Linked DNA regions of Mus musculus. The protein of the gene in region 3 purifies or fractionates together with the protein of the main gene of each other region. This does not show direct contact. Links are inferred from orthologs where the notes say so. Each region holds a gene or a part of one and is shown on either strand. Other genes may lie near its edges. The genes, in order: Xiap, Fkbp5, Map3k7, Ripk1, Peli3, Tgfbr1 and Ripk2.

Region 1 (4,038 bases), on a different chromosome or scaffold from region 3:
ACACAGCCCAGGCTGACTTGAATTTGCAATTCTCCTGCACTGACTCCACAGTGTTGTTGGGATTACAGGTGAAAGCCACCACACCTAGCTTTCTTTCCCCTTTCTCTCTCCTATTAGTGTATATTCATTGTACAAAATAGTGGGTTATGTTAGTTTCAAAATTACATCATGTATTTTGATCAAATTTTAACATTTTCTTTGATATGCTCAACAAAACAAACAAACAAGCCCAGAGCCCTATACATGGTAAGCAAGTATTTACTGTACTACATACACCAATACAATCTTTACAGGCATAACCTTTTAAAAATAAGTTTAATCCAAAATGATTCTGTAAGTTAGATTTATCTGTATGTCAAATTTGATATCTGAATTTCATAGTTTCTACACTATTTGATAATCAGGAAGCTTATTCTTTAAAGATAAAGCCAAAGCTTTTTAGCATTTCTCATGAATACAGAACAGTAGGTAAAAGCCAAAAGAGAAACATAAATACAGACCTGTTCTGTGAAGACGAAATAAGCCATACTGGATTTTACAATAAAAATTACTGATAAGTGGATGTTCATAAATACCAATTGCAAATACTTATGTTGATATACATCTATGTGAGCTTTAAAACTTTCTAGAATAAGATCAAACTTGTTTATAATATTCAAACATGTAAGGCACAGGAGAAAAGCAAAGTTTAGTTTTCCATCCGTCTTCTTCAGAAGTAACCAGGGTTACCATTTTTTTTTATCTCTTTCATGGATCCATGTGACCCAATCCAAACAGCTATATAAGCTTATGTTTCTGTGTCTGTAGGTAGAAATCTATCTGACCTAAAATGTTTTCCATTCTTAAGTTATGGGGAAAACAATCCCTGACTCAAGTTTCACATACATGTTTACTACACTGAAAATGACAGAAATGTTAAATAGAATATACTTAGATATTTGCTTAGAGGTTATATTGAAGCAACAGGAGTGGGGTGGCCAGGGAGCTAGAAAATCTGAATTCTAATCTAACTAGCATGGCTAGCATGGTAACCTTACACAAATCATGAAACCCTGAGCCTTAGTTTCTGCTTTGTAAAACAAAAGAGTTGAGCTGAGATCCTTCCCAGCTCAAAAATGCTATAATTCTAAGATGGCCGGCTCTTAACAGTGTTCTCTTGAAACTGGCTACAAAAAAAAAAAAAAAATCCTATTAAGGAGAAAATGAGAAGAATGAAGAAACACTGTAGAACTTTCCAGTCTTTAAAAAAAAAGACATTTCTAGGATTCATTCACTATCAAGGTATAGCTAGGATGTCAGAAGTAGTGCCATAATTGTACTTGAAGGTAAAGTTGTAGATTATTACAAACTGATAGGTTTAGTCTTCCCCAAGGCTTATGTTCTCCTTTTTGGAGATGGAGTGAGCCACTGCTTAGTTTCAGCAATCACCACTCCCTTCCTCCCTCCCGCCCCTGCTTAAAAGAAAAACACCCCACAACTCAAGTAAACTGTGGAGTTCAACGGAGTTAAAGTAATGGAACTGAAAGTCATAAGTGACATTTTTTTCTCTCAGAAATATGCTGGGGAAGTGACCAAGGTGACAAAGAGGCAAAAATTACCAGCTACTTCCTCCTCTGGAAGCTCTTTGGCCCTCATTCTTTAGGGTTCACATGCCCTTGCCAGAAACACACCACCCTGCCCCATACAAGGTATCGAACTGGGGGGGGGGGCAGGGAGGTTGATCAAATCTTTTTTTTTTTTTTAATTATTTTAACTAGATTTACCTTAGGTGTCACGAAGTTTAAGGAGGCTGACCCGAAGGCTTGAAGCCAGCCCCCCTACCCACGGCTTCCAGGGGCAATCCCGGGGAGCCTGGATAGGGAGCCCAGTCCAGCATTCCCCGCGGGCGGGCGGGCGCGGCCTTCCCGCCCAACTAGGCAGAGCTAGCCCAGGCGGAAGGGAGGGGGAAGAAATGGAGGGAAGGAAAAGGAGGGAGGGAGGAGAAGGGGGGGAGAAGGAAGGAGGGGGGAGGAGGAGGAACGCGGGAGGAGGGAGGAGGAGGGAGGGAAGAGCAGAGCAGAGGAGAGGAGAGGGAAGAGAGGGGAGGGGAAGGGAGGGGAGGGGAGCAGAGGGAGAGGAAGGGAGGGCGGGAAACCCACAAGAGCTGTACCCACCGCGCCAAGCACTCCAGTCCTAACTAAGCGCCGCGGGCGACGGGTTCCCGAGGGGAGGGTCCCGGAGGAGGGGCGGCCCGAGCCCGGATCAGGAAAACACAACTCTGCTGGGCGGCGGGCCCCGGCCTAGGAGAAGGAAACGGAAGTCACTATGTCTGTCTCCCTCCCTTCCTTCCTCCCTCGGCCTTCCCAGGCAGGACAGTCCCATCGGATAAAACTCGAAGACCGGAACCAAGTGCATCCACGTCAGGACTTTTAAAAAAAAAAAAAACTCAACCGGTGCAGCCCGCCAGCTTCCCGGGCTCGCCCAGCCACTGGCCTCAGGCCATGTCCTTCCCACCGCCACCCCCATCCCCTCCCCCGGGAGCTCCGCTCCCGCCCGGCAGAGCCCCTCCTTCTTTCCCACTCCGCCATCTTCCAGCCTACCTCTCTGGCCGAGCGGCCCTCGATTAGCGTCGCGCCCGCTCGGGGGACCGCCAAGGTCCCGCCGCCTCCCAGAGCCGGAAGGGGACATCGAGAAAAACCCCAGTCCTCATTATGCAGCCCAACCCCCCCCCCACCCCCCAACCCCCGCCTCCCCAGCTCCAAGCCAGAGCCTGACCCAGCGGCTGCACATGCGCACAGGTCACTTCTCAGTCCCCGCCCCCGACTCAAGCATTTCCTCTTTTAGCATCCAGGACTTTTTCTCTCCCCCCTCCCCACCGCCCCCCAGCTTTTACCTGGACTCTAGGGTGAGGAGTAGGGGAATACAGGTAAGAAGATTAAAGACCAAGGGGAAAAGGGCACAGTACATTGAGCTCTCACAGGATACCAGGGACTCTGCTAGGTATATAACATATTCCTCAATGTTATTTTGAAAACCATGGAAGGCAGAACACCTCTATTAAATTCCACCCTACAGAGGAAACTGAGCCCCGGAGAAAATAATTATCCCAGTATCACCCACCCGACAAAAAAGTAAACTGAGATTAGAGAATCGGTTGTTTCCAAATAGAGGAAGCTAGAAGGAATGACGAGACAGGGAGACAAAAAGAGGGTGAGAGAAATTTGTGAAGAACAAAGAAAAATAATAGAACAAAGATGGAAAAGACACAAGAGAAGATTATACAAAATGGTGATCATGCTATATGCTTGTAGGGTTGTCAGATAAACCTATACTTAGGTTTCAGGAACTTTGACTCTTAATGGCTAGTGTACTAAGATGGATTGGGTATATTTAAAAGGAGAAGACCATGGGCACCATCTGCCTGGTTAAATAATGCTGTCCTTGATGAAAAGGAACTTGGAAGAGAAGACAAAGAAATGTATTTGGTTCTTCAACTTTTGCCAATGTAATATTCCTTCTAATGCAATCTTTTTTAAAAATTATTACATTGTCTTACTGTATGAGGTCAGAGGGCAACTTGAGTCTGTTCTCTCCCAGCATGTGGGTTCTAGGGAAGAACTAATGTCCTCAGATTTGGTGGTGATGCCCTTCCCCACTAAGCCATCTGTGTCCCAGGCCCCCTGGGGTGTACTCTTACAGCTCTGAAAATTGCATCTGACTTATTACAATGAAGGTAATTCCAAGCGAGGGCTGGGAATGAGGCTCAGTAGTAGATCACTTGTCTAGCACATACAAGGTTGAATTCAAACCCCACCACTGCCAACAAAACAACTGCAAGCAAATACTGATCTCACCTGTCCAGCACTCTTAAATAAGCAAACCAACAAAGCTCCATCTTTATCAACAGAAGGGTCAGAAGTTCAAGGCCATCCTCAATAGGAAGTTTGAGGCCAGTCGGAGATGCAAGGGACCCTGTCTGGGAAAAAAAGAAAAGAAAAAAAGTCCCAGGCTACCCTCATTTGTCTTGATATTGTCCACCATCAACTCATTTAGAAGAGG
Region 2 (3,500 bases), on a different chromosome or scaffold from region 3:
TGAACCTGGCCATGTGCTACCTGAAGCTCCGAGAGTACAACAAAGCCGTGGAGTGCTGCGACAAGGTGGGTGAGCCGTACTTCACTCTCCGTTTATCTGTGTGGCACCTCTGCCCCCTTCAGGCTGTTCCTCTATGGTCAGCATGAGCTGGGACGCCATAAAGGATGGGGCTTTTTGTGCACTACTTTTATCCTGCATTTTACATAAAGCCATTAACAGAATTGATAAGAGTCTTCATCTGTGGTCTTCCTTACCCTGGTCCTTTGTGGGAGAGGAGACAAAGAGCCTTGAGGTTCCCTCTTTATTGTTTTGTTTGCAAGGCTGGGGATTGAACCCAGGGCACTGTGCATGCTAGGCAAACACTTTACCACTGAGCCATACAGCCTACCCCCAGTGACACACTTCCTCCAACAAGCCACACTTCCTAATTTCTAATCCTTCTAATCCTTTGAAACAATTCCATTCCCTGGTGATGATGTATTCAAATATATAAGCCTGGGGGGGGGGGGAGACATTCTTATTCAGAGCATTTACCACCATGGTTAATGCCTATGGTCTCAGCATTTGAGAGGCAAAACAGAAGAATTGAGAGTTCAAGGCTGGCCTGGGCTACATGAGTTCTTGTCTCAAAAAATAACTATTATCAAGATAGCTCAGCTGGTAAAGGCACTTGCTGTCAAGCCTGATGACAGGAGTTTGATTCCTAGGACCTTGTGGGAAAGAAAGAACAACTTTGTCATATGTCCTCTGGCCTCTTCCTCATTCATAGTATTACATGTGCATACACAAAGGTAATAATAATATATTATTTTAGAGATTTATTGATGTGTATGAGGACTCTGTACCTGCCCACCAGAAGAGGGCATCAGTCCTCATTACAGATGGTTATGAGCCATCATGTGTTTGCTGGGACTTGAACTCAGAATCCCTGGAAGAGCAGTCAGTGTTCTTAACTGCTGAGCCATCTTTCTAGCACAATAATACATTTTTTAAAAACAACAAAAAATAGATATAAAGTGGCAAAAAAGACATTTTATATAAGAGTTTAGTTGGCTTGTTTTGCCTTGAGAGAGGAATATTATTGTTAATTATACTTTTTAAAGTTTGTGCTGTTTTTTTTTTTAAATATATAGCTGTTACAAAGTTCAGAATTTAAGCACACAAGAAAGCCCAGCTATCAAAAAAAAAAAAAAAAAAAAAAAAAAAAAAAAAAAAAAAAGCCAGGCAGTTGTGGCTCATGCTTTTTTTTTTTTTTTTTTTTTTTTTTTTTTTTTTTGGTTTTTTGAGACAGGGTTTCTTTGTATAGCTCTGGCTGTCCTGGAACTCACTTTGTAGACCAGGCTGTCCTCGAACTCAAAAATCTGCCTGCCTCTGCCTCCGAGTGCTGGGATTAAAGGGGTGCACCACACAGAGAAACCCTGACTCGAAAAAACAAAAACAAAGAAAAAGAAAAAAAGCCCAGCTATAAAATTCCCATCAACTTTCTCTCCCAAAGCCACTCATTTAAAGATTTACTTTATCTTTAAAATATTTGTACATGTACAGATAATATTTGTGTTATCTGTATGTGGCGCGCGCACGCGTGTGTGTGTGTGTGTGTGTGTGTGTGTGTGTGTATGCGCAGGTGCTCCCTGGGTCCAGCAGAGGGAGTCTGATCGTTAGAGCTTGAGTCCCAGGCAGCTGTGATAGGGTTGCTGGGCTGCTGGGAACTGAACTCGAGGCTTCTGCAAGAGCCATGCTCTTAGCCCGGGAATGGCTTCTCCAATCCTTTAGACATTTACTATGGTAGGAGAGGTTGTCTGCATGTGCGTGTGCACATGGTACACACATGGGCGGCCTGGGGGTAGTTCTCCTTCCCCCATGCTGAAGGACCAAGCTCACTGAAGCTCATCAGCAGGTGCCCTTCCCACTGAGTGTCTCTCTCCCCTCCCAGAGCATCTTTCTCTATAGAGTCCTAGTTTTTCCAAATGAAGAATAACTGCTTTATTTTTTTCAGTCAAACTCTCATATCCCAGTTTGACTTAAGACTTGCTTTGTAGCTGAACTTCTGGTCCTCCTGCCTCCACCTCCTGTTGGTGGTTTGTTTTATTTGTTTGTTTGTTTTTGTTTTTGGTGGTGGTTTTTTGAGAGAGGGTTTCTCTGTGTAGCCCTGGCTGTCCTGGAACTCACTTTGTAGATACGGCTGGCCTCAAACTCAGAAATTCACCTGCCTCCACCTCCCGAGTGCTGGGATTAAAGGCGTGTGCCACCACCGCCCGGCTGTTTTGTTTTTAAGATAGGGATAAAATTCAGTATTTTGTATATACTAGGCAAGCTAAGATAAACCCCAGACTTTGCATATGTATTCTTAAAATATGTAGATTTAGGACTGGAAAGGTGGCTCAGAGGCTGTAAGAGTACTCACTGTGCAAGCATATAGGGCCCGAGTTCAGATCTTGGCACTCAACATACAAGCCTGGCCTAACCCACAGAGAAGGGGAGCACTAAGTGGATCAGGATAAAGGATCACTAGTGCTTGCTGACTGCCAGTCTCTCTGAAAACTTGAAAATTGTGAGCTCTAGGTTCAAAAGAAATAAAGCAGAAAATAAAAGGGAAGATACCTGTCGTGCGTGCGTGTGTGTGTGTGTGTGTGTGTGTGTGTGTGTGTGTGTGCTCGCTGGCACAGATGCATCGATACATACTTGTATAATACACAACACACACACACAAATATATATATATATATATATATATATATATATATATATATATACACTAAATAGAGAAAGATTTGGACATAGTTATTATGTGAAAGCAGCAGTCTTTCCACGTCAGATGAGTGCATTCTACACTTGTCCCTCACTGAGCTTGGTGTGAAAAGACTCACCTCTTTAGATCCATTCTGTGAACCATGGGGTTTCACTTAACTGATCCTCACAGGAAGATTTTCAGGGCTTGTTTTTATTATAAGGGTCATAATAATAACCATAATAATAATAAAGGCAGTGGTGGTGCAAGCCTTTAATCCCAGCACTTGGGAGGCAGAGGCAGGCGGATTTCTGAGTTCGAGGGCAGCCTGGTCTACAGAGTGAGGTCCAGTCAAAGCTCTCAGCACCATCAGGGGCTCAAGCTTCACCCCCGAGCTGGAGACATTTTATACTAAAATACTGACAAGTGGGTGGACCGTGGTTGATTGTTGCGTGACTCTTGTGCATAGTTCTGCTCACCTCCGTGTGATTGCGCTGCCTCAGCACTGAGGTGACAGGAGCGGCAGTTGTCCCTTCCAACCTGTGACCTGCCCACCTGTCCTTCTGTTCTTAGGCCCTTGGACTGGACAGTGCCAATGAGAAAGGCTTGTACAGAAGGGGCGAGGCCCAGCTGCTCATGAATGACTTTGAGTCGGCCAAGGGCGACTTCGAGAAGGTGTTGGCAGTCAATCCTCAGAACAGGGCCGCTCGCCTGCAGATCTCCATGTGCCAGAGGAAGGCGAAGGAGCACAACGAGCGGGACCGCAGGGTGT
Region 3 (3,500 bases):
TTTTCACTGGTGTAGAAGTCTTATTTTTACATATGTCTTGTCCACTATTGAATAAGGCATTCATATTATTCCCAGCCTGTAGTCTGAAATGTGTCTGCTTTTCTAGGCTCATTCATGGACATTGCTTCTACAAATACCAGTAATAAAAGTGACACAAATATGGAACAGGTTCCTGCCACAAACGACACTATTAAACGCTTGGAGTCAAAACTTTTGAAAAACCAGGCAAAGCAACAGGTTTGTTATTAAAAGTAAAATTGTATGTTTTCTTTACTAGTAGTCACAACATTATACTAAAGTTATAGATTATTTGCAATCTTCTGATATGTAACAATCCTGAGTTTTCTTTCTGTACCAGACAAATAAGCTTGTGGTAAGAGACATGAAATTTTGCTGTCATTTTTTACCAAACAACTTGTTTTCCTTTCTCCTGTCTGTTGCTGTTGTTAGCCCTGCCCCTTCCTCCCTGTGACCCATCTCTAACTAAGGGTCCTACAAACAGTGTGAAATGTATTTAGGTTCTATGGACCAGTTAAGTTCTCACAAGGCTGTCATCCTGTTAGGTTGGTTGTATTACGGCTGTTGTTGGTAATAAGTGATTGCTTTGAGCCGTGTATATCTGAGCCTGCTGTGCTTTACTAGGTCCCTCCGTTATAAGGTTCCCTGCTTCAGAACAGCACCATCAGCATGAAAAGCCACTTGCCATCTTCATCCTGGGCTGCCCAGGATCTCTACAGGAAAAGATCCTCAGTAACTGAGATTGACCTGTAATCCTAACAGAGTGAATCTGGACGCCTGAGCTTGGGAGCCTCTCGTGGGAGCAGTGTGGAGAGCTTGCCCCCCACTTCCGAGGGCAAGAGGATGAGTGCTGACATGTCTGAAATAGAAGCCAGGATCGTGGCGACTGCAGGTAAAGGGGCTGCAAGCCCAAAGAGAAAATGCCTATGGTTTTACATGGTACTCGCGGTTGTATTCAATAGGGCCGATGGGTCGTGTCTTATATCTGCTTTCTAAAAACAGATGGTGGGTTCACGGTGTTTTCTAAGCTTTCAGCAGTAAAGGTTTTGGTTCAAATTTTAAATAGACAAGTATGGCTTAAAATGTATTTGGATTATAAAATACACTTCCTAGTTACAGACTTTCAAATGTAACAAATATATCAAATATATTTCTCCTCAAACATAAACAAGCTTCAGAAATCAAACTTTCACCAATACCAGAGTATTTTCTATGGCTGAGTAATTCCAGTGTTTTTATGCTGAGCCCAAGAAACGAAACATGATTGGCAGGAAATTGTGCCCCAGGAGCTGTTGTCCTGCTCTTCCTGCCAGCGGCCAGAGTCGCCCAGCTAGCTGTTTGCTTATCTGATGATAGAATCAATAGTAGTAGTTTCATCAGACGTTGGCTTTGATAGTGTTTAAATTTCATTTTGTCAGCTCTTAAAATGTACAATAGACAACGTAGCCAGAATTAAAAAGAATGGCATTTTGTCACCTGGTGAACCAGCACCTTTTTTAAACCGGGTTTCACTTTAGTGGTGCCAATTTAATTTGAGTCTTATTTTGTTATTTCTGATCTTCCAAGGTTAGACAAGAGTGAATTGTAAAAATGAGCATTGTATTGGAGCATGTAAAAGTGTAAAACAAATAACAGTAAAAACTTGATAAATTCTCCTCTTCGGGGGATAGTTTCGATGTATCTGCATATCTTTTAATTATATATACAGAGTTTTAAAAAAAATGTAAACGGAGATGTTTTCTAAGTAAAATGTTCTGATTGTGTGTGTTCTCTTTGTAGAGAGTGGCATCCAGATGAACTGTACTGTACTTGTCTAAACTAATCACAGTCACTGATTTATCAACCTGCACTAAAAGCCTTTAGATAGGAAGGACTGTCTGAAGAGACAGTGTTTAAACACTAAGCTATTGAGCCCACAGAGACAAGTCTAGATTTGCCTTGTGGTCTTTAGGCACTGGTTTTCTATCTCTGTGTCACAATCTCTGTTGTTTAACTTCTATCCTCAAGGTTACCGTGTGGTCCAAAATGGTTGTGACAGCTCAAGCCGTCACTTCACTGCTCAGGTAGCAGGAAAGAAAAGGAAACAGAAGGGGGGAAAGCTTTTGAAACCAATTTCTGCAGCTTCCACACTCATTCCACAAGGGGTCTGAGCCATAGCTGAAATTGCTGCATTAGTAAAGTCAGAGCCCATGCTAAGGAGAAGAAAAGACTAGAAATGAGTGGGGAAATAGCTGTCTCCACCTGAGATAAATCCTCAGAAAACGTCAGGTTCAGTAGAGGTCAGTGCCCATCACTGGTCTGCTGGTCTCCATGAAGCACAGATGTCTGTAGACAGAGACATACTGCCAGCATTGTTGGGGGTCCACTTCAGTTCAGTTATCATCCAGAATACACACATAATGTTGATTCTGCCCTGAAAGGGGAAGTAATGTTTTCATAATAGTTTAGGATTTTGCTAAGCCTGTTTTTCTAATCAGATACAGATTTGTAATTACATATTATAAGAATGACATTTTTCCAGTTTAAGGATAATCATACATAAAATTAGTTTGTCCTCTCTACCTAAATGTAAGACAATACATCCTTTGAATTTTAAATAATTTGAATTTTTAATGAATTATCTTACTTTGAAAGGTTCATATTCCAGCTTTTGACAGTCTTCCTGTTTAACAGTTATATACTCTAAACGTTTAAAATTGTAATAAATATTCAGTTTATTAGAAACACTGTAGATAAACTTAGGGAAATATGTTTTAATGCTTTGGTATGATGACTGTTGATAATCACGGAATTTGATTTATAGCACACTCCAGGACGCACCTAACTTAGGATCTTCCTGCTCCTGTTTGTGTCGTAAGCACAAACATGGCAGCTTGTCTTACTAACTCCTGCACCTCCTGTCCTGCCGTCCCTCCCGTCACCTCATACCACTGATTTTACTTAGGTACACTATTTCTAAGAACACATCGGAAATTTAGCTTCTTCAGTGTCCTGCAGCTTTGTCTCTCTCTATTTGTTGTTGGGTTTTTTTCCTGCTAATTAAAACCAGTGTGTAAAACTTCTGAAACTCTTTGCTCTTTAACGTCGCCTCCCTAAGCATGGACGAAGAGTTAGATAGTTCTGCATGCCCTTTTTTTTTGCATGAGATGGATTCACACAACTATTTCAGAACTGTTCTGTTGTGCAGTCATTTCCTGTGTTACTGTGTGTGGTTGTTTGCATGTATACTGTACATGTGTGTTTTTTCAGCCTATTCCAAGCCTAAACGGGGCCACCGTAAAACCGCTTCATTTGGCAACATTCTGGATGTCCCTGAGATCGTCATATCAGGTACCATAGACCACCTGTGTTGGTGTAACGGCTGTGGAACTGGATTCATGATCCCGGTACTTTTAAATGCTTCTTGCTCCAATTTGCATAGGATATGAACAAATACCTCTCATGCTGTACCCAGGGAGATGGAGAGAAAACTGTAGATTGCC
Region 4 (3,500 bases), on a different chromosome or scaffold from region 3:
TTGCTGATGTCTCTTAAACCTTAGTCTCTGACTATGATCAAGATATTCACAGACCTGTTAGACCCAGCAGATACACACACCCCACATAGATACCACATACATATAGACACACATACACAGAGAGAGAGAGGGGGAGAGAGAGAGAGAGAGAGAGAGAGTGCCTGAAATATATTAGGTACTCAGGAGACCTTTGTTGAATTAGTCATCCCAGTTTAGAATAAACTCATGGGGTAAGTAGACTACTTTATAGTATAGCTTAGCTTGGGAGTTGCTATAAAACTCCACTATTCTTCTAGAGTAGGAACTTACTACCAGGCATACACCCCATACCTTGATTCTATTTGTGAATGAGCCTTTTTCATTATCTACTGTGGACAGTTCAGTCAGCTGGGAATGGAAAGGTAACTAAATCATTGTTTGTACAGGGGAAAAGTCATCCTTCGGTTTGGTTAAGTGTGGAAAGGAAGGACTACTTTCTGTGACTTCTTCGTGATTACTAACCCCAGTAGATCAGGGATCACCATCTCTTTGCTGATATCTCTTAAACCTTAGTCTCTGACCATGACCAAGATATCGACAGACCTGTTAGACCCAGCATTTATACCACAAGCACCTCCAAAGTAGCATCCCCCAAACAAGTTGCCAAGTTTATGAGCACAGTACAGGTTGCTTACCACCTGCACTGAGTGGCACAATAAGCAACTTTAACTGTTCTCATCATGATTGTTTTTACCAGAACCCATCATTCTTACTTCTAGAGTATTAGTTAGCATGTATATTTCAAGTCACTCTCCTTAAACTGAGCTTCTTAAAGCTCAGACCATCCTGTATTTGCCTCTGTATTGAACTCGGGAGAATGCCATGACTTTACCCGTTTGTTTGTTCTGTGAAAAGGTAGCTTTGTTTTGAATTTTGTTTCTCTTCTGCAAAATCAAAACATCATCCTACCATTTCTGTAGTAGTCTGCATCAATTCCTTGCCACAAGACTGTTACTTTATGGAATGAGACAGCCATGGAAAAATCATATCCTAGATAGAGAGACAAAAGAGCAGTATTATCCAGGTCCTGGCATCTTCCTGCTTGAGAGTAAAGTGTAACTGAAAGCCCCAACTGAAGTTCACCCCTCTTTGCAGATGTCATCTGTACTGAGCAGTTCGTGATCTGCATAAAATCTGGGAACAGGCCAAATGTAGAGGAAATCCTTGAGTACTGTCCAAGGGAGATCATCAGCCTCATGGAGCGGTGCTGGCAGGCGATCCCAGAAGACAGGCCAACATTTCTTGGTAAGAATGGGTTGCGTGCCTATTTAGGATGCATCTAACATAGTGACTCTCTTCAGTAAGGTGACACTGGTAATTTAGTTACTTTTCCTATTGCTATGACAAAATAGACGACAAAGCAACTCAAAGAAAAGGTTTATTTTGGCTCAGTTTAAGGGTAAAGTCTACCATGGCAGGACGCCACAGTAGCTACAATACAAGGCAGTTGCCCACATTGCATCTAGAGCCAGGAAGGAGACAGACATAGATGCTGGCAGTCATTTGCTCTCTTGTATTCAGTGCAAGGTCTCAGCCCATGGGATAATGCTGCGCACATTCAGGGTGAGCTTTCCCTGCTTCACACCCCCACAGGCACACCCAGAACTGTGTTCCCTAGTGTCACCCAGAAGTGCGACCGTAAATCCAATCAAGTTGGTAAGGAAAATCAGCCATCACAGTTAGAAACATATGTTGAATACCACATCACATGTAGCTTCAAACTGACTAGATAGATATCAAGCACCTTGTCAATGAAAAGGTCCTACCCGTCCCCAAAGCATGGGCTTCTTCATTTCCTCCTTTAGTTTCGGGGGATTAGCACTGTTATTGTTTTGGGTTTTGTTTTGTTTTGTTGTTTTGTTTTGTTCTTTTCGAGACAGGGTTTCTCTGTGTAGCCTTGGCTGTCCTGGAACTCACTCTGTAGACCAGGCTGGCCTTGAACTCAGAAATCCGCCTGCCTCTGCCTCCCGAGTGCTGGGATTAAAGGTGTGCACTACCCGGCTACTGTTACTGTTTTGAAGCACATATAATGCTTTCCATTTTAGCTCTTGTAAGTATACTGTCCAGTGGTGTGAAATCCATTCTGCTTTTTCAACATTTACCACAATTTATTTCCAAGTTTCCTCAGCCAGAGCACAGCTCTGTACTCGGGAAGCATTAGCTCTGCGTCCCCTTTCCTCTCTTCTCTTCCCAGCCTTAGCAGTCACCATTCTGTTGACTTTGACTTCCCCAAGTGTCTCATGTAAGCCAAAATTGCACAATACTTCTGTTTTGTATCTGTCTTGTTTTACAGACTAAGTCTTTAAGGTTCATCCATGTGGTAGTATGTGTCCGAATTTCCTTTTTATTGCAGAATAAGATTCTACTCTATAGATAGTTTTTGTGTGAGTGTTCATCTGTTGATAAACACTTGCCCTAACCATTTCTAGCTTCTTTCACTTATTTGCCTCCCTAGTTAACATTCTTATTAGTATCCTTAGGAATGAATTCTGCCATTTAGGTTAGCCCTGTAGTTGAGGAAATTGAAGGAGACATGAGCGTTTGGCCCGTTCTGCACCCATCCTATCCCCTAGATTACCTAGGAGTATGAAGTAGGCCAAAGGAGAAGAGCAGAGATACAATAGGAGGCATTCAGGAATGTACAAAGCATCATGTTGTTGTATTTATGTGAGAAAAGAGAACTGGAGTGCCACCCATTCCCACTGTATAGACCAAGCTGACCTCAAATTTACAGAAATCCCCTGCCTCTGCCATCTGGTTGCTGTGATTAAAGGTATGCCACCATGCATAGCTAAAGCCCCATCTGTTACAAGTCCCACAACTCCTGACCGTGTTGCTGGCTGAGGACCAGGTCATACACTGAAGGTTGTTCAAAATTCAAACTGTAGCATTTTCTTGTAGGTTCTTAAACTTGTTCTAGAGTTTTAGTTTGATTCATCTGTGGTGTTTTTTTCTTGCATGGTTTTCAAGGACATTCTAGGCATGATATTATCCATATGTTATTTGATCATATGGTTTAATTTTCCAGTTTGCCATTTTATCACCCTGAGTTAAGTATGTAAACCTTTCCTTTCTCCTTATGCATTTCTCATTTATACATGTGGAATGCATCAGACTATGTTGCAGCTTTCCTTCAGTCTTCATAAACTCTAAAAGAAAGTTTTTTGCTTTTATTTACCCATTGTTTTGATTGTCATGCGTCATTTTTCCGATGCTACATATATTTACACTTCTAACACTATGCAGGCTATCATGACATTCCACATTTAAGAGCTTAGTCTCATGTGACTATCACCACATGGTACCCACTTAGGATGCCTAGGCTTCTGCCCAGCTGACTATGAGTTTGGGTGTATATTCCCCATCTCAGGCTTAGAATAGACTCATCTGGCTCAAAAAATATTGCACTTAAATATAACTCAATGTTATAAAACATTAAATTCAGAAACAACCAGATAGAA
Region 5 (3,500 bases), on a different chromosome or scaffold from region 3:
GAATGGGCGGGCACACCTGTGAGGGATTTTTGCTTCATTAAATCATTTGAAGTAAGCCGGACGTGGTGGCACACACCTTTAATTCCAGTACTCAGGAGGCAGAGGCAGGTGGATTTCTAAATTCGAGGCCAGCCTGGTCTACAGAGTGAATTCCAGGACAGCCAGGGCTACAGAGAGACCCTGTCTCGAAAAAAAAAATCATTTGAAGTGGTGAGACCCACTTCTAATCTGGATATTTGAGGTAGGAAGACAACCTTTAATCAAGATCTTATCAAGGGGGAAAATCCACCTTTAATCTGGGCTACACCTTCTGCTGGCTGCCTATCCACAAAGGACATAGAGGAAGAAGCTCTCTGCCTGCTTGCTTTCCCGCTCCCTAGCAGGTCCATTCCTTCACTGGCATTACAGTCCACTTTTTTGGGATTCAGGTGAAGATCAGCTGAAACATTCATCCTTATACACTGAACATCTGCTGGCTTCTTGGACCCTCCTTCCATTGGCAGACAGCCATTGTTGGATTAGCTGGACCACAGCCTGTAAGCTATTCTAATAAATTCCCCCATAGGCCAACACAAACAGAGAAAGACATACAGGCAGACAGAGATTCATTCTATATGTTCCATTTCTCTAGAGAACCCTAATACATTGTGTGACATCACATCCCACTCTTGGAGCGTTGGCTACCTCTAGAATAATGCTGATAGGTGCTAGAGAGATGACTCAGTGATTAGGATCACTGGCTGCTCTTGCAGTGGACCCTGGTTTGATTCCTAACACCCATATGGCAGCTTACACGGGTTTGTATCTCCAGGTCCATACCTTCTTCTGGCCTCCACAGGCACTGCATGCTTACAGTGCATACACATTCATGCAAGCACTCATACATCTACAAACATAAAAATAAATTTTAAAAATGTTAATAAGTAAAACATCTAACCAACAAATGGGGCATGGCAGCCAAGAAGTATTTGAAAGGCTGTTAGGGGTTGGGCACACTGCAGAGGATGTCTATTATCACCATTTTGGGGTGTATCTGTTCTGTGGTACACGTGCATGCATGTGCATGGGTGTGCCCACAGAGGCCATTGGGTGCCTGCCATTATCCCGATTTATGTCTGTCACTGAACCCGGAGCTTGTGGTTTTGGGTTAGGATGAGAGCCAGCAAGCCCCAGCTACCTTCCTGTCTTCGCCCTCAACAGTCCTGGGGTTATAGCCACACATGCTTTTAATTGGCAAGTGCTGGGAATCCAGACTCAAATCCTCGTGCTTGCACAGCAAGCCCTCTTACCCTACTGAGCCATCATCTCTCCAGACCCATCAGCACCATTTCCTGAGTGAGTAATGACCCAGTGGGCTCCCCTGCTCCAAAGAGGCCATGGCAGGTAAAAGACTGAAGACCTAGGTCTGGGCACAAAGGACAGGATGGCGTTCAGTCTACTGGGAGGAGCGGCTTGCCTTGGAGACGAGTGGTGTGGAGATGTGGTGCATGACATCTGGCTTCACTCCGTTGGCATGTGGCCGGCGGCTCAGTGCCAGGCGGCTTCGGCGGCGGCCCTTGTCTCCACTTGCCAGACACCCATTGTAGCTGTGGATGTGGTGGTGAAGAGATGGTGGAAGGAGAGAAAGGAGAGAGTGAGCCCGTAAGAGACCCGAAGGAAACTGCCAACTTGGGGCAGACCCTACCTTGATGAACAAGGGCTAGAACCATCTAAACCTAGAAAATCCCCGAATGGCAAATGGCTAAATTGAGGGGTAGCAGGTGGGGGTCCCTCCTTTAAAGGGCCAAGTGTTCCCTGCATACCTCAGCTGTAACAGCAGGTGCTAGGGTGGCAAAGCTGATGCACCACGGCCATGCTCAGTGGAGGAAAGGACTGAGCCTCAGCTTCTCAGGGAACCCAGGCACCGCCTGCCATGACCCAGGCACAAGTCAAGCACACACAAGGCCCAGTGGGAGGAGGTGGGAATAACCCCAGAATCAGGATTCCGGGAGAGGAAACACCTATGTTGGGCCTTGAAGAACTGTAAAGACTTCATCTGCAGCAAAGGAGCTTTCATCATACGGCGTCCGAAAATGACCAAGAAGAAAACACCTTCTAATTCCTCCTCATTATCTCCACACGTGTCTAATTTCCACCTTTCTTTCCAGCTTTTATTCAGGGGGAATGACCATGAGAATCAAGGCTGAGGTGAGCCATTGCCTTGATTGCTGCTGGGGATGGCTGCCTCTTTTCCTGATCCTTCGTGTTTTTAATTACCTAATGGAATCTGCAGAATGTCCTGCCAGGCAAATGGCTTTCTTCCTACTTTATAAATTAGACAAGTGAAAGCCCAGGGAGGTAAAATGAGTTGTCTCAAGCTAAGAAGCAAAGACAATAACAGCAGCAGCAACAACAACAAAAGGCTGGACTGTGGTCACTGGACTGTAGTCACACTCACCTAGATTTGCCAAAAATTATTGGGTTTTGAGCCAAGGCCCTGAGGACTAAGATTTAGTGACTTGGGTGGTATAGTGATAAGAATAACAAGCTAAGAATGCTTTTCTCTAAGAAGTGGGGAGGCACAGAAAGCTTTGGAGAAGAATATCAGAAGTGGCTGAACCTAGGGCTGGGGGTGGAGCTCGGTGGGTAGAGTACTGGCCTAGCATGAGCAACACCCTGCGTTCCAATCCCAGCACCACAGACCGAAGTCTGCTGGCTCATGCCTGTAATCCCAGCACCACAGACTGCAGTCTGCTGGCTCATGCCTGCAGTCCCAGCACCACAGACTGCAGTCTGCTGGCTCATGCCTGCAGTCCCAGCACCACAGACTGCAGTCTGCTGGCTCATGCCTGCAGTCCCAGCACCACAGACTGCAGTCTGCTGGCTCATGCCTGCAGTCCCAGCACCACAGACTGCAGTCTGCTGGCTCATGCCTGCAGTCCCAGCACCACAGACTGCAGTCTGCTGGCTCATGCCTGCAGTCCCAGCACCACAGACTGCAGTCTGCTGGCTCATGCCTGCAGTCCCAGCACCACAGACTGCAGTCTGCTGGCTCATGCCTGCAGTCCCAGCACCACAGACTGCAGTCTGCTGGCTCATGCCTGCAGTCCCAGCACCACAGACTGCAGTCTGCTGGCTCATGCCTGCAGTCCCAGCACCACAGACTGCAGTCTGCTGGCTCATGCCTGCAGTCCCAGCACCACAGACTGCAGTCTGCTGGCTCATGCCTGTAACTTGGGAGGAATACAGATCAGGAGCTCAAGGTCATCTTCAGCTACATAGGGAGAGTGATGGAAGCCGGCCTGAGCTCTGTGAGACCCTGTCTCAAAAAGGGAGACAAGAAGATGCCAAATATAGGACCAATTAGAATTTCCTGGTGAGTTTGTTTAAATTCATATTCGCTAGACCCATCCAGAGATTCTGCCTCTCGAGGTGTGGGGTTCTTCTCTATATCTCCTATTTTCTTTTCTCTCATCTCTCTCCTTTATTCCCTCTCTCTTCTTTTTGTTGATTTTGGGGGC
Region 6 (3,500 bases), about 15 Mb from region 3:
GAGACCTAAGAGTAAAACTAAAAAATAATCTAAATGGTTCAACATATAGCTTAGTGCTAGCGTGCCTGCCAAGTGTGTATGAGGCCCTAGGTTCAGTCTGCAATAACACATGCATAAATGCACACACAAACCTCAAAATGATCCGTACATAAATGTGTCTTCCGGGCCATCTGCTGTTTCCAGTCTGGACTGGTTGCTTTTGAGAGCCACTGTGTGGCTTCTGTCCTGGAATTTCTTTTGCCTTTGTGTCCTTCCTGGGCCTTCACCTCCCTCTTTGTTTACTGTTCTTCCTGTTTGTATGCTCCTCTCTGTTAGAACTATTCTCATTAGCCATTTCCCTTCCCTCTGAGAATATGCTTTCCCTTGGCAGGCTTTATCTTCTCTAAATTGTTTTTCTTCTTGGCATTTACCACCTTAAAGGTTTGTATTTCACAGTAATTTATTAATTGGTCTATCTCCGAAATGGAAACTTTTTGAGGATAGAAATTTCATAAGTTTGTTCACTGCTGTATCTAACACCTACAGAAATATTTGTTAAATGATAGGCCTTCAAAAATAATTATTTAAATAAATGTTTATGTGTACTTTGGTACATGGTCCTTTAAATCTAGAAACATATTTTCTAGGAAGTACTTCTGAAGCAGTCTTAGGTAGTCTCCCATTGCCTTTGTTGTTTTTCTTCACCTTTGGTTACCTGACTATAAGCCTACCCACCCTCCAGGTTTTGCTCCACTTACTGGAACATTTATCAGCTTTGTAGTTCATTCAGGTTTTCCATGTATCTCCTCATTCTCCCTCCCCTTGCCCTCCTCCCCCTGCTCCCCACCTGACCTTTCCCTCAAGTAGTTATTTGTAACTATCTCTGAGTGTTCCTCCTATTCACTACGTACAGAACCTTATTATTCTATCACTAGACATTTGAGGAGTGCTGTAGTATAAAATACAGGGACTGAAGGGAACTCTGGGAAGAATAAAGTAACTTTGAGTATAAAGACTACACAGAGAGAATAAACTTAAAACAAAATACATGAACCAATGATGAATCCCAGGGGTTTGGTGGTGTGGTGGTACTATAGCCTGAACATGGTATGCATACTGTACAAACACTGGACCAAGGAGCTACACCCTGCCTACTAACAGTAGAGCTTTGAAAATCCAGTGTTCTCTCTCTACATCTTGTGTTGGTTTCACTTTCTTCATTTCATGTTACTTTTTTCAAATGTTCGATCAGACAGTTCTCACTTTTAATGAAGGCCTACGCAGGTGCATGTGATTGGAGCTTACAGGTGTACGCTTTAGTGATCTCTCGGGGTTATTTGATTGATTCTCTGGTCACTGTTAATAATCTGTCAGGCCTGTTCTCTTGGACTGCCCAGATCTCCAGGGGAGATTCCTTTGGAATCCACAAGAGTGTGCACAGGTGCTACTACTATGTTCCAGGAGAAGGCTTACAGTCAGAGTCCAGCATGTTTCCAGTGTGAGATACCTGCCCTTTTTCTCTGGGCAGAGAAGATGCCAGTCTTTCTTTCCTTGGACAAAACCCTTAAGCCTTCTGCTGGGCTGGAGAAGTGGCTGGGACAAGTTGGAGTGGGCAGAACCTGTGTTCCAGCACTTTGAGCTCTTCTCCCTGCTTTCTACCATAGCTTTGCTCTAAAGGACTCAAAGTGCAGTTATGTTTGGACCCAGTGTCTCGCGTGCCATAGTGTGTGCATTCTTTCAGTGCTGAACCAGGAATTCTGAGGTCTCCTGAAAAAGCTCCCCTGTCCACAGCCTTTCCAGTAGCTGGCACCAGGATCTTGATGGAGACTGAAGTCCTCATTTGATACTACAAAGAACCTAGAATAGGCACCTTATACCTATCATTTTAAAGTCACAGATCAATAACAAGTAGTATGTGTACATTAATTATTTTTCCTATGTTTTCTTATAGGCCTTGAGAGTGATGGCTAAAATTATGAGAGAATGCTGGTATGCCAATGGAGCAGCAAGGCTGACAGCTTTGCGAATTAAAAAAACATTGTCACAACTCAGCCAACAGGAAGGCATCAAAATGTAACTGAAACACCGTGGGAACTCTGCTCTCTTCATATCTGCTCCTGGGTGTTTAGGAGGCTGGTTGTTCTACCTCACTGAGAGAACAGAGGGCTCTGCTTCCTCTTGCAGCAGTGGAATATGGTCAACTGAAAGCTTCCCAGGGTTTCTCTGGGCCCAGAGGCAGCCGTGGGGTCCTTTCTGTGCACTATGGATACTTCTTCCAGACAGTTACAGAATGTTGTGTAGTCTACTTTTGTTTTTATTAACAAAGCTTGTTTTTAAAGACAACTGCCAGCCCTTAGGGAGCTGCTGTGCTGTTGACCTTCTGTAAGGGTGAAGGAGCTGGGGTGTGGCACTAAATGAAGCACTTCTGATTTTCACTCCTAGTAGTACATTCTCAGAGGACTCTGAACCACTAGTGTTTCCTTGGTTCACTTTGAATGTACTGTTCTATAATTTTTCAAGATCTTAAACTAACACTTTAAACTCTATAGTCTAAAAAATATGACCTCGTGGAGGCGTGGGGGCACAGTTGCTCCGTTGTATTTGTGCACAGCTCCTTCACACTCTGAACACAACACACCTTCACAGTAGGGTTGTGCTACACCAGTAAGTGCTACTTTTGCATCTGTCTAAGTGGAAACGAACAGAACTACTTAAAGGCGGTGTTAAGTCCTGTATCATTTTCATTCAAAAAGTTTATTTTTCTGAGTAACCTAAACCTTTTCTGGGTTTGTTTTTGTTTTTTGAGGGTTTTTGTGATAGATGTCATTCAGTCTTCATGCCTTTCTCCTACCCAGATGTGCTTGAACCACTGAGGCAAGGCTGTAGCATTGATAAGCAGTGACTGCCATGCGGGAACACCCCACAGGAGCACTGGAGCTCTGCAGTTGAGACGTTTAGCCTGAGTTTATTTTAAGAAGTGAAGTGGCACTCCAAACATGTACAGTGCTTTATGGATGTAATCATTATGGTATACAGACTCCTTTTGAAAGGGGAGGCTTGTCTATTGCCGAAGGAAAAGTTGTATGCTGTTCTGTAAGCCATTTCTTTTTCTTTATTTGATCAAAGCAGTGTTTTGTTTTGTTTTGATTTTTCTTTTTTGGAAAGGAATTGCATTTAAAATTCAAATGTGGTTAATGTTAAATAATAGGCCTTTTTCTAGGAAGGCAGATATAGTTAATATGAATGTACAAGTGTAGGTGACTTTCACATGTTATGTAGCTGTAAGTATTTGTGGATTCTATCTTGGGAAGGGTAGAGTTAGTGGAGTTTTGAGGTCTCACTACCCTTTGAGGAAGGCAGCTTTTAATTCAGTCTTTTTATCTCATATGTGCAGATCTTGCAACTGCTTGATTTACATGGTAGCAATGAATTCAGTGCCACGTTGATACTAGGAGAAGCAGCAACTAATAGCTATTCTGAGTAGAGGCTCTCTTCATATATTCTTGGTCATATTAAATGTC
Region 7 (4,219 bases), about 16 Mb from region 3:
TCTCTCTCTCTCTCTCTCTCTCTCTCTCTCTCTCTCTCTTAATGGTCCTGAGGAACAATACCTGAAGTTGACCTCTGGCCTACCCATCATGCATGTGGGTCAGCAGCACATGGATCTCCTATGTGTGTATGCTAATACAAACACATGCATGTACATACAAACATAGAAAGGTATGATGTATTCCTCCTCCCTGCCAGCCATTTTATATACAGTCCAACCCTTGAATCAACTCTCTAAAGCTTGTTTCATTCTCTCTGGTTTACATATTGGAGCATCTACAGTCAGAAAAAAATGAATGATCCTTTGGTGACAACAATACAAAGTGACAGGGTTTAAGTCAGATTTAAATTGTAGCCCTGGTACTCTAACATCTGTGCTTTTCTATTCTATTGTTTGATGAGAAAAGCAAATCAGATAGTTTGTGAGGTTAGAATTCAACAAGATTGAGGGGGAAAACAAAAGCAAAAGATTTTTAGAAACTTAAAATGCAAAATACAGCTTCAATAATTGTATCATGAAAATGGCCTAACTCAAAATGTCAATAGGAAACAGCTCTCCATCTCTAGGGTACTTGAACAACCAATCAGAGTCATCAGTCCATTAAGGCTGGAAGACTGCTATGGAAGTCCCACTCACTGGCAATGGAGAGTGACTCACTAATTATTAAAATAATATGCAACGTCACCTAGACTTATTTTCTTTTCAGGTAATCTTAAAGAACAATGGGTACATTATCCACACCAGAGCACAACAAATATACATACAGTGTTTATTATTCATATTTAACAGGTGAGGAAGTAAGACACCCTCAGAGTCAGTTGCATAAGCCTAGGCCTGTGCTCATGGTAAGATCTTAGACAGCAAGATAAAAGAATGCAATGCAGTAAGGTAGGGGATTGTGCTGGTTTTATAAAGACAATGCCCTATCCAATGCAAGGAAATTATACCATAAGTGGTTGGTGAATATGGGAAAGCAATACCATCCTGTCCATCTTTTTCCCTTGGCCTACAAATGGCACAAACGAAGCTTTGAAAAGCAGAATCAAAAGTGAGAAAGCAACTAGCTTTAGTCTACCTAGTGGTCTATTAGTGCTACATTTCCATAGACCATTCGTTTGCTTGGTACTAACCAACCTCCCTTTAAAGTTGACTACTTAGGCGCACGTGCTCGAACACGTGAACACACACACACACACACACACACACACACACACACACACACAGCACTGGCTCCACATACACTGTGATCTAGCCCTTGGAGGGAGGGAGGGCGCCTCCAGGCAGATGAAAGTCCAACATTCTACCAGGGCTGAAGCAAGAGAGTTAGTTATCTGATGCTGTATCTGACCTGATACCCAGGGTTAACAGCCTCTGACCAATAGGGCCGCTATGATCTCTGTATTTTCACACTAGATCCAGCAGGAGAAGAGGCCTGTAGCCACCAAGGTTAGCAAGTGCACTAAGAACTGAATGAAGGTCTAGTTCAATTTCTGATGGAAGTGAAACACACAAGAGTTCTGACTAGATCCATTGACTAACACATACAGCCACAGATCTATGGTATTTAGTTGTAATGTTTTCCTAGAAACAGAAACCAACGCTTTTTTTTTTTCTTTCTTCTGAATATGTGGGAGCTGGACACAAATAATACCAGGGCAAGGGATGGTCAAAACTTTTATTCTTCACAAATTTTGACCATTTAATAGCTTTTGATTCATTTTACTGTTACAAAAAACATTGCACACTTCCTTTGGGGACTTCCAAGGCAAGAGCTCGAATAACAACTGGTAATGTAGAATTTGATAACTGAACTTCATGAGGGCACGTAATAAACCACAAAGAAAACAAAACCAACCAAATCAAACCAAACCAAGCCATAATATGCAGGCTCAGGAGCAGGAGTGAAACACACATAAAACCCTAGAAAAATATTTTGACGTTTAATCAATATAAAAACACCGGTATAGTATTATTATTTTTCTTTTTAGTGCTAAATGCTCAAACTCCGGTGTGTATTTTGCAGTCACTGCGTACTTCATTTCCAAGAGCAGTTTTTAGAGTTCCACAGCTCTTACCGCTAACAGCTAGCTAAAACAAAGCAAAGCCCACAAGCACTGTACCAACACACGTCGGGTTCAATAAACAGGGTTTTAGAGGTGGCCGTGATTGCAGGTTTTTGGAGAGTGGGAACACCTCGGGTGGGAGGAGAGGCAGGGCGAGTTGCAAAGTCTGACGCACGTCCAGGATGGTTTCTCCCTTGGATCAGGTTAGCCCAAGGACTTAAGGACTCGCCGCGGCGGAGCCGGCGCATCGCCATAGTGCGGCCGGTCTGTGGACCACCCAGCCCGCGTCTGTGTGGGGCCCCGCGCCGGCGCCCTACCTGTCGAGCAGCGGCGTGTGGATGTGTAGGTGCTTCACTGCCACCCGCACGCGCCAGTCTGCGTGTCGTGCCGACGAGACCGTGCCAGAGGCGCCCCGGCTGAGGTAGTGCAGGTCGGCGAGCTTGTGGTACGGGATGGGGGGTAGCGCGCTGCAGATGGCGTCCCCGTTCATGGCTCCGGCTGCGCGGCGGCTCCGCCCGACCCTGGCCGCGGCGCTAGGTCCCGGGGCGGCCCATTCCCGCGTGGCCGCTGCAGTTCCGGCCCGGTCAGCTGTGCCAGGGAGCCCGTCGGGTCTGCGGCCGCGCCGGGGTGGACCGTCCTCCTCCCTCCTCCTGGACTCGGCGGGCTCCTCCCTCCGCCGGCCCTCCCTGGGCGGGCTCCTACCTTCACCAACTCCTCAGCCCCTGCCTCCTACCCCTGGCTTCTCCCTCCGCCGGCTCCTCCCTCCGCCGGCTCCTCCCTCCGCCGGCTCCTCCCTCCGCCGGCTCCTCCCTCCGCGGTCTCCTCCCTCTGCCGGCTCCTCCCTCTGCAATCTCCTCTCTCTGTGAGCTCCTCCCTCTGCCAGCTCCTCCCTCCGCCGGCTCCTCCCTCTGCCAGCTCCTCCCTCCGCCGGCTCCGCCCTCCGCCGGCTCCTCCTTCTGCCAGCTCCTCCCTCCGTCGGCTCCGCCCTCCCCCAGCTCCTCCCTCCGCCGGCTCCTCCTCCGCCCGCTCTTCTGTCCTCTGGCTCCTCCTTCCGCCGGCCCCTCCCTCTGTAATCTCCCATCTTTGCGGGCTCCTCCCTCTGCCGGCTCCTCCCTCTGCAAGCTCCCCTCTCTGCGGGCTCCTCCCTCTGCCGGCTCCTCCCTCTGCAGATCATGGGCGTGTCTCAGAGGCCTCCCTCCCCCCACAAGCCGGGTGGACATCGCTGAGGCTTGGAAAAGATTTCCTCCGGGGAAAATCCCTCCGGAGTTCTCCAGTCTGGTGTCAGGTGGGTCGGCTGGATTTTCCTTTGGCCCGAGTGTCTTCCTTAGACTCCAAACCCTGGACGTGATAGGGTGTGGGGTGACTACTGCTGGGGAGCCTGGTGCCCCACTTCCTGAGCTGTAAACCATCTGGTTGCTTCCACTCCAGTCTTTACTCAGTGGCTGCCACTTGTGAGAAGTGAGGTAGAGAGGCTAGCGCTGTCAGTGTGACAAATTGAGGTGTTTAGCTTATATGACTTGCTCCCTTACCAGGAAACGGTTTCTTCTTTTATTCCTCAAAGCCTACTCACAAATAGAAATATAAAACCATTTCTTGTGTTTGGGAAGTCTTCCATCCAAAAAGAAAAACAAAGGCAAAAACAAACAAAACCAAACAACCAAAATCCAGCACTATTTCATCTTTTTACTGTAAACACCTTTCTACTTAGATAACTGTTCAGTACGATGTTTGGCGCAAATATCTCATATTTGTGAGCGATATAGTTCCACGATCCTACACGCACCAGGATACTACAATCTGTAATTGTCCCTTATATTATTAGTGTAATATATATAACACCGACATTTCCTTCCCTATACTCTAGTTCTTAATAGTTTTTTACAAGTCTACATTCTAAGATTATGTTTTCTTGGGCTGGAGTCATGGGTAAGCCGTTAAGAGGGCTTGTTCTTCCAGAGGATCTGAGGTTTGTTATCAGTACTCGAATCTAGTAGCTCACAGCTGCCTGCTCTCCAGCTCCAGGGAATCTGACCAACACTTCTGGCTTCTGCAGGCAACACACATACACATAAACAAAATACAAAAATATAAAAATATGTACTTACAATATAATGTGTATATATCTCAACTAAGAATATATATACGTATACATGCTG

What was found.
Region 1: the proteins of Map3k7 (region 3) and Xiap purify together in Homo sapiens (affinity purification with western blotting; 3 studies listed by BioGRID). This does not show direct contact. The link is inferred for Mus musculus from reciprocal best matches to the Homo sapiens genes MAP3K7 and XIAP.
Region 2: the proteins of Map3k7 (region 3) and Fkbp5 purify together in Homo sapiens (affinity purification with mass spectrometry; 4 studies listed by BioGRID and IntAct, with this or other methods). This does not show direct contact. The link is inferred for Mus musculus from reciprocal best matches to the Homo sapiens genes MAP3K7 and FKBP5.
Region 4: the proteins of Map3k7 (region 3) and Ripk1 purify together in Homo sapiens (affinity purification with western blotting; 5 studies listed by BioGRID, with this or other methods). This does not show direct contact. The link is inferred for Mus musculus from reciprocal best matches to the Homo sapiens genes MAP3K7 and RIPK1.
Region 5: the proteins of Map3k7 (region 3) and Peli3 purify together in Homo sapiens (affinity purification with western blotting; 3 studies listed by BioGRID and IntAct, with this or other methods). This does not show direct contact. The link is inferred for Mus musculus from reciprocal best matches to the Homo sapiens genes MAP3K7 and PELI3.
Region 6: the proteins of Map3k7 (region 3) and Tgfbr1 purify together in Homo sapiens (affinity purification with western blotting; 3 studies listed by BioGRID). This does not show direct contact. The link is inferred for Mus musculus from reciprocal best matches to the Homo sapiens genes MAP3K7 and TGFBR1.
Region 7: the proteins of Map3k7 (region 3) and Ripk2 purify together in Homo sapiens (affinity purification with western blotting; 4 studies listed by BioGRID). This does not show direct contact. The link is inferred for Mus musculus from reciprocal best matches to the Homo sapiens genes MAP3K7 and RIPK2.

The regions. Positions count from the first base shown.
Region 1 is NC_000086.7:42,066,598-42,070,635, reverse strand, and holds the start of Xiap (E3 ubiquitin-protein ligase XIAP), read right to left. Parts: upstream 2,801-4,038; 5' UTR 2,580-2,800; intron 2,486-2,579; exon of another isoform or gene 2,280-2,485; coding exon of another isoform or gene 2,154-2,279; exon of another isoform or gene 1,764-2,153; intron 1-1,763.
Region 2 is NC_000083.6:28,402,650-28,406,149, reverse strand, and holds part of Fkbp5 (peptidyl-prolyl cis-trans isomerase FKBP5), read left to right. Parts: coding exon 1-65; intron 66-3,301; coding exon 3,302-3,500. UniProt on the Homo sapiens protein: Immunophilin protein with PPIase and co-chaperone activities. Component of unligated steroid receptors heterocomplexes through interaction with heat-shock protein 90 (HSP90).
Region 3 is NC_000070.6:31,991,607-31,995,106, forward strand, and holds part of Map3k7 (mitogen-activated protein kinase kinase kinase 7), read left to right. Parts: intron 1-106; coding exon 107-237; intron 238-780; coding exon 781-910; intron 911-3,267; coding exon of another isoform or gene 3,268-3,348; exon of another isoform or gene 3,349-3,404; intron 3,405-3,500. UniProt on the Homo sapiens protein: Serine/threonine kinase which acts as an essential component of the MAP kinase signal transduction pathway. Plays an important role in the cascades of cellular responses evoked by changes in the environment.
Region 4 is NC_000079.6:34,015,863-34,019,362, forward strand, and holds part of Ripk1 (receptor-interacting serine/threonine-protein kinase 1), read left to right. Parts: intron 1-1,134; coding exon 1,135-1,284; intron 1,285-3,500. UniProt on the Homo sapiens protein: Serine-threonine kinase which is a key regulator of TNF-mediated apoptosis, necroptosis and inflammatory pathways.
Region 5 is NC_000085.6:4,936,593-4,940,092, forward strand, and holds part of Peli3 (E3 ubiquitin-protein ligase pellino homolog 3), read right to left. Parts: intron 1,587-3,500; coding exon 1,457-1,586; intron 1-1,456. UniProt on the Homo sapiens protein: E3 ubiquitin ligase catalyzing the covalent attachment of ubiquitin moieties onto substrate proteins. Involved in the TLR and IL-1 signaling pathways via interaction with the complex containing IRAK kinases and TRAF6.
Region 6 is NC_000070.6:47,408,722-47,412,221, forward strand, and holds part of Tgfbr1 (TGF-beta receptor type-1 isoform 1 precursor), read left to right. Parts: intron 1-1,930; coding exon 1,931-2,056; 3' UTR 2,057-3,500. UniProt on the Homo sapiens protein: Transmembrane serine/threonine kinase forming with the TGF-beta type II serine/threonine kinase receptor, TGFBR2, the non-promiscuous receptor for the TGF-beta cytokines TGFB1, TGFB2 and TGFB3.
Region 7 is NC_000070.6:16,160,844-16,165,062, forward strand, and holds the start of Ripk2 (receptor-interacting serine/threonine-protein kinase 2), read right to left. Parts: upstream 2,801-4,219; 5' UTR 2,554-2,800; coding exon 2,381-2,553; intron 1-2,380.